Mus musculus: one gene and its partner. The protein of the gene in region 2 binds, or shares a complex with, the protein of the main gene of each other region. Links are inferred from orthologs where the notes say so. Each region holds a gene or a part of one and is shown on either strand. Other genes may lie near its edges. The genes, in order: P2ry12 and Gnai2.

What was found.
Region 1: the proteins of Gnai2 (region 2) and P2ry12 are in contact, whole or in part, in a cryo-EM structure (PDB 7XXI), measured with the Homo sapiens proteins. The link is inferred for Mus musculus from reciprocal best matches to the Homo sapiens genes GNAI2 and P2RY12. Residues at the interface, in NP_002061.1 of Homo sapiens: Arg24, Glu28, Ala31, Arg32, Leu195, Glu319, Ile320, Tyr321, Phe335, Phe337, Asp338, Ala339, Thr341, Asp342, Ile344, Ile345, Lys346, Asn348, Leu349, Lys350, Asp351, Cys352, Gly353, Leu354, Phe355; in NP_073625.1 of Homo sapiens: Phe59, Asp121, Arg122, Lys125, Thr126, Pro129, Phe130, Thr132, Asn134, Pro135, Ile212, Leu216, Ser219, Tyr220, Arg222, Thr223, Arg224, Val234, Lys237, Ile241, Leu301, Cys302, Lys303.

The regions. Positions count from the first base shown.
Region 1 is NC_000069.6:59,260,373-59,264,294, reverse strand, and holds the start of P2ry12 (P2Y purinoceptor 12), read left to right. Parts: upstream 1-1,309; 5' UTR 1,310-1,521; intron 1,522-1,949; coding exon of another isoform or gene 1,950-2,085; intron 2,086-2,311; coding exon of another isoform or gene 2,312-2,421; intron 2,422-3,461; coding exon of another isoform or gene 3,462-3,551; intron 3,552-3,922. Other genes in the region: Med12l (mediator of RNA polymerase II transcription subunit 12-like protein), read right to left, coding at 1,009-1,170, 1,950-2,085, 2,312-2,421, 3,462-3,551. UniProt on the Homo sapiens protein: Receptor for ADP and ATP coupled to G-proteins that inhibit the adenylyl cyclase second messenger system. Not activated by UDP and UTP. Required for normal platelet aggregation and blood coagulation.
Region 2 is NC_000075.6:107,615,863-107,618,543, reverse strand, and holds part of Gnai2 (guanine nucleotide-binding protein G(i) subunit alpha-2), read left to right. Parts: intron 1-1,480; coding exon 1,481-1,609; intron 1,610-2,000; coding exon 2,001-2,130; intron 2,131-2,235; coding exon 2,236-2,389; intron 2,390-2,681. UniProt on the Homo sapiens protein: Guanine nucleotide-binding proteins (G proteins) are involved as modulators or transducers in various transmembrane signaling systems.

The DNA of each region.
Region 1 (3,922 bases), on a different chromosome or scaffold from region 2:
CAAAACGGCCAAGGTACCCCGCCCCCCATGTGAGCATATCTGTTTTTGTCTGTCTTCCTCTTTAAGTGTGACTTCTTCTGACACTACCAGTAATGTCACCACCCACTGCTGTCTGCCATGTGATGAAATCGTTCTCCTGAGTAGAACTCACATCTAAATGGCTCCTGGATGCCTTCTGAAAGAAGCCCAAGTCACCCTTATTGTGACTTCTGGTTTTCCCCTCCCATGGCCACACTGCTATGGCATTTGAGTTAACTCTGAATTCTGGTGGCATGGTTTTTCCTCTTAACAGTCACCTTTCTTGCCTTTCCTTAAACTTTCCCCACCTGTCCTATACTTTTCTGTATACTTAGTCCGTCAGGATGGTCTGTGTGTCCACTATTGTAGGACCCCTGTTCTGACTACCTCTGCCTGTGTGACTTAAACCGTTCCCCGTTGGTGCCATCATGACCTGACCTGCACGTCCCGTTGCATGTAAAAGTGCATCTACTTCCCCCTAAGGGCAGGGATTCCCTCCACCATCTCCATTGCTGCAGTGCCAATGGCTACTCAGGCTGGCCTTTCTGTTATTTTAAAGAACCTTCCAAAGCGTTGTATAGAAAGCAAATGCCCATCTAATACTGCTTCTTAGAGACTACGTAGTGTTGTAACACAAGTTTTACTAAATACTGCTTACTCAGCAAATGAAAATTCTTATCAGCACACATTTTCTTATATAAACATAGCTTGTTTCCTATCCTGATGTAAAATAATAATTTTATTTTACTTTTATTTCTTATGCTAAGCTGTTACTTAAGTTTTTGGTAGATTCTAGAAATGCCCTGAAGTCCAGATAAGCATTTTAATTGGGAGATCTTTGAAGATAATGGCTTTTTTCTTTTTCTTTTTGCAATGCCAATAGCTATTGTGCTTTGATGACAAAAATTATACCACTGAAAATTAAGAAAAGTCACTTGGCTTCTATAACTAGATATATTTATATATGTGGGAAAAAACATTTACTCTTGCCTGTTTTTTATCAATAGAGTCAAATCCAGCAATTTTGTTTCCCTTTGTATCGATCAAAGAACCCATGGGTTCACACGTGATGACATCGCAGGTCTGCTTTGGCAAAGGCAGCAACTGTCGAACTTTGTCAATGCTTTCTGACCTCTTGTCTCCTAGTTCTTTCTAGAAGAAAGAGGGGGGAAAAATGTAAAAGCAAGAGAGAAGTGAGGCAAAAATTCTGACTTTACAATGAAGCAAAAGCTAACAAGAAGGAAGTTCCCCAGTGACACATTTCCTTTTTTTTAGGGCTAGTATGTCTTTAGTCCTTAGCGCAGTCTATGGAACAGCTGCAAATTGGACTGGTGAAATGTTTCATTTCTTCTATTCAAGTAGAAAATCAGGGTGCACACAAAGGCAGTCTTGTTCTCCATGACAAATCAGAGTGCTGAAATGACAAAACGCCAGTGTCATTTGCTGTCACACAGCAGGAGCTGCCGCACGGACACTTTCCCGTATCCAGGGTCACAGTGCAAGGTAACCATCAGCTTTTTTACTGTAACGTCTTCAGATTATGTATTTGCAATGTCTATTTGCCGTTCATGTCCAGGACTGTTAGTGGATTTACAAATTCAATGCAGAGCTCATTTTTTTTTTTCCCACTTGCATGTGTAAATCCAAGCATGGGTTCAAAGGAAATCTGACACTGGAGTTTTGGTTAGATATCTGATAATGCATTTTTAAAATCCTTAAAAATTAAAACACATTTTATTTGAGCACACCTTTTCAGAGAAAAAAATCGTTCAAATATCATGCTTGTAATTTTGAAGGACTGACAGAGTAGGTAAGATAACAAATAACCACAATCTGCTGAATCAGCTACACATGTAGATTAATGAGGAGGAAATTAAGACAATAATCCATAAACAACATGATTTCAGAGTAGAGGCTGATCACAAGCTTACTTTCAGTTTCTTTACTAAGTTCATGTATGCACGTTTGTTCTCTTCTGATCCCCCGGGGGAAGCACTTGATAGGTCAGAAGCCAGGGTTCCATTGATTAAAACACCCAGCATGTCAAGAACCGTTGTGAATAATTCACTGAGAAGAAAGAAAACCCCATTTTATTCTCACAAACAAAACCCGGACACACAGAATTGCCTAAGCATTTCTACTGAAAGTGCTAAGTTTTTAATGACAGCTAAATCAGTAAGTGGCAGAATTTCCTGTCAGTAGACAAAAGCTTGTACCATGCATGCATGCAGGGGAAAAAAAAAGGTATAAAATGATAAAAAACAAAATAAAACAAAACAAAAACCCAACATACTTGTTAGTGTGCATGTCAACAGTTCCCGAAGTAATTATCTGGAGGAGTAGGAGGGCCCAGTCGGTGGTCCCCTGCGTGCTCCGCTGTACCGTGTCAAACATTCCTCCTACCTAGCATACAAAATATGATAAAGATTTTGTATTGCTACCCCTATTACCATATGTGCCCAAATGTTGATTTGTTAAACCAGAAGTGATGTTAAGAACTGGTTCTTGCTAGCCACACTATGGATTATCCTACAACTGTCTCTTCTAGCTATGTGGTTATCACTGTTTATGGTTCTTTCCACAGAGGCTAGGCATTCAAAACTTAACAGAAAGTGTAACACTTGAATGTGGGCAGTCACAAAATTACCTTTCTCTTCTCATCAGTCTCTCATGGTACTTAGTTTTAGACATAACTGCAGTTAAACCTGAATAGCATCAAAACTCTGTCTCATCACCTGCAATTGTGTGATATTCGATTATTATTGCATCTGAGCCTGCCACTATAATATCCCTGGAGATGCCCTTTAACGTGGAAGGAATGAGGAGGAGAAGGTATTGCCACAGGTCTGCCAGCTCCTGGGAGGAGGTCAGAGTGCTGAAGGTGAGGTGAACAACTGCCCAGGGAGGTCAGATTGCCAAAAGCCAGAAAAGCAATTGCCCAGGGCACGTTCAGGATTTGTCAAGAGGAAATTTAAGGGAATACAAAACATGCTGAAACTTTCAGATTTCTGTAAAATATTCTTGTGAGATTTGTCTTTTTTTTTTCTGATCAATTTAACAGAATGTCTCTGAGAAAAATTGAGAGTTGACAGATTTCTGTGGTTGTAAAATAGAACACAGTGAAAGCCAACACTCCTATTAAAGGTTTGTCGGACCTCCCCTTAGCACTGCACAGGAGGAGGAGGAGAGATCTGCCAGATGGAGCCTCTACTCCCTGGTGGAAAACACAAATAGGTGCTTACAACTCTACTGTCTAGAATTCAACCCAGACAGGAAGGACGGCAGCTAAGGAAACAGAAGGTTTAAGAGAAAAGGAAGTAGGTACAGAGTGAGAAAGAGGAAGGCTTCCCTCTGTCATGCAGATTCTGTCCACAGATGTTGAAAGCTGGTATTACTTTCACACAGAGAGAGGTGTGACAGAAATGGGTCTGCCACATCCTTACCAGATTCAGGCGGAGCTGTAGGGCCTCATGCATCATCTGGCGGGCTTTCGTATCATCTTGGTATCTTTCTTCCCTCCAGTTACTTAAAATCTAAGATTGGGAAAAAACAAAGAGTAACAACAGAAATCCCTTTGTTCTTTGCTATGACGACTTTTACAGGTTTAAAATGAAGCTCTACAGTAACAGCTAACACTTCTTAGCTTAAACATTAACAAAGTTATTTTTTTTTTTTACTCTTCCTCTTCTTCCAGACAGACAAAATCCCAGTTATTTTATAATTTCCTGGGTAGCTGGGAGAAGAAAGTCTTACACACACACACACACACACACACACACACACACACGGAAAAAGGCCACACAGAAATGCCTATGGCAAGGACAAAGGGAGGCAAGGTGAACTGAGACTCGCAGAAAGGCAGAGCAGGTCTGCTTAACATCTGACATGGATCCTTCCAGGCAAC
Region 2 (2,681 bases):
TTTTTGCCTCCACAGGCTCATCTTCAGGAGGAGTATGGGGCGATACTCTAAGCTTTACCACAGGCTAGACCCCAGGAGAGCAGAGGCTCCTAGGGTGAGGCCACCTGCTGAGAAGATAGAAATTGGTGTGGAACTCACCTTGAGGTTTCAGGCTAGGGGCTCCGTCCACAGGGGATGGAGCCTGGTACGCAGGTCACAGCAAGTGCGTCATGGTCCCCTGTGGCCCTTCCTGTTATTCTGTTCTATCCCTGCTTCTCTGAGATCATTTCCCTTTGGTCTGGTTTGGCTGCCTGCTGGCCCCAGCACCCCTGCCCCAAGAACAAAAGACCAATAGAAGGGAGACACTTCAAGGCCTGGACCCAGCCTGAAAGCATAGCGGGGATATCGAGTCAGACACTGCGGGAGAGGCATTGATACTAATTAAAGGACTGTGTGATGAAGGGCCCCAGGGATCTCTGCCAAGCAGGTGTCTGTGCTCCCACCTCAGCTCAAATTTTACTGAGTGTTAGGTGAAGGACCCACTGGGCCTGGCAGGCCCCGACATGTTTAGTCCTATGAAGGGACCACACCAGGTTGCTCTGCAGTGGGACCTTAATTACACCGGTTAGCATCTTGATCTCTCCCTAAAGGACTAATTTCTCCCTCCCACTTTTTACCTGTGAGTCCTAACATTCTGGCGTCTCTTGGATGCAGGTCAAGTGAGAACCTGACTGCTAGGGTCATAGAGCTGTAATCCCCCAGTCCCATTGTACAGATGGGAAACATGAGGACTGAGGCCACATTTCTTTCTTTCTTTTTTTTTTTTTAAAGGTTTATTTATTTCCTATCTCGAAAAAAAAAATTTATTTTATGTATATGAGTACACTGTTGTTGTCTTCAGACATACCAGAAGAGGGCGTCAGATCCTATTGCAGATGGTTGTGAGCTACCATGTGGTTGTCAGGAATTGAACTCAGGACCTTTGGAAGAACAGTCAGTGCTCTTAACAACTGAACCATCTCTCCAGCCCCATCCCATGTTTCTTTTTTTGGGGGGGGGGAGCCTTGTGTGTGTGTGTGTGTGTCTTTTTTTTTTGTTTTTTTTTTTTGTTTTGTTTTTTTTTTTTTTTGAGGCAGGTTTTCTCTGTGTAGCCCTGGCTGTCCTGGAACTCACTCTGTAGACCAGGCTGGCCTTGAACTCAGAAATCCACCTGCCTCTGCCTCCCAAGTGCTGGGATTAAAGGTGTGTGTCACCACTGCCCAGCTGAGCCCATGTTTCTTAAAGAAGCAAGGATAGCAGGCACAGCAGTGCACACCTGTAATCGCAGTGCTTGGGGCTGAGGCAGGAGAATTATAGGTTTGAGATAAGATTAGACTACATAAACCAGACCCTGCCTGGAGTAGAGGGAAGGGAGAAGGGAAGGAAGAAGAAGGGTTTTGTCTGTTCAGGGTCCAGGTCAGGATGCTGCTTTTGACCTGTCTGATTTCCTGCCTCCTTGCAGCTACCTGAATGATCTGGAGCGCATTGCACAGAGTGACTACATCCCTACACAGCAGGATGTGCTGCGGACCCGTGTGAAGACCACGGGCATCGTGGAAACACACTTCACCTTCAAGGACTTACACTTCAAGTGAGTGTGTGTGTGTGTGTGTGTGTGTGTGTGTGTGTGTGTGTGTGTGTGTACAGGGTTAAGGGCCATAGCTGCTAGCTGCTGGGGTAGCCCAGTCCTGGGATTGTGTTGGGAAGGCATGTCCTCAAGGTCTGTCACCTAGGCATCAGTAGTGACCTACTAATAGCTTCTCCTGCCTGTCCCATGTGGCTCTAGCCTGTCCCTCTGACCAGACTCAAAACCAGGATTGTGGTAAGGGACGTTCCATGACTACATGGTGGCACACAAGAAGGACCTGTCCTGCCTTGGCCAGGTCTCTGTCCCTAGCCAGCTGGCCTGTGAAGTGCAAGGACACCCCCCCACCCCCCCGCGGGGCTCTGCTCCCTGGATTAAGTTGACTCGATGTCCACAGGATGTTTGATGTGGGTGGTCAGCGGTCTGAGCGCAAGAAGTGGATCCACTGCTTTGAGGGCGTCACGGCCATCATCTTCTGTGTCGCCTTGAGCGCTTATGACTTGGTGCTGGCTGAGGATGAGGAGATGGTGAGAGTCCAGGAGCACTGGTGGTGGCGGGTGGGGGCTGAGCCTGGTAGGCAGCGACGGGGGTGGGGGGTGGTGTCAGTACTGACTTCACTTCCTTCTCCTTAGAACCGCATGCATGAGAGCATGAAGCTGTTTGACAGCATCTGCAACAACAAGTGGTTCACAGACACCTCCATCATCCTCTTCCTCAACAAGAAGGACCTGTTTGAAGAAAAGATCACACAGAGCTCCCTGACCATCTGTTTCCCTGAGTACACGGGTACTCTTTGAAGACTAGCTCATGGGGGTGTGGGGTGGCCATCCCAATAGACACCACTGGGGCTCTGGTGGCCCATGGATGCCCCAATCTGGACAGAAGGAAAAACACAGGACCTGTGGGACCTCACTCAGGAATGCACTGTGTCTACACACAAAAGGCTTGTTACCACCCATGGGCCTCTACCGTTGAGCATACGTACATAGGAAACATCCTTCATACAGCACACGCACTTACACATGACCGTGCTGTGCACATTACATGCTTGTCTGTTGTGGGCACAGAGTTCTGCTGT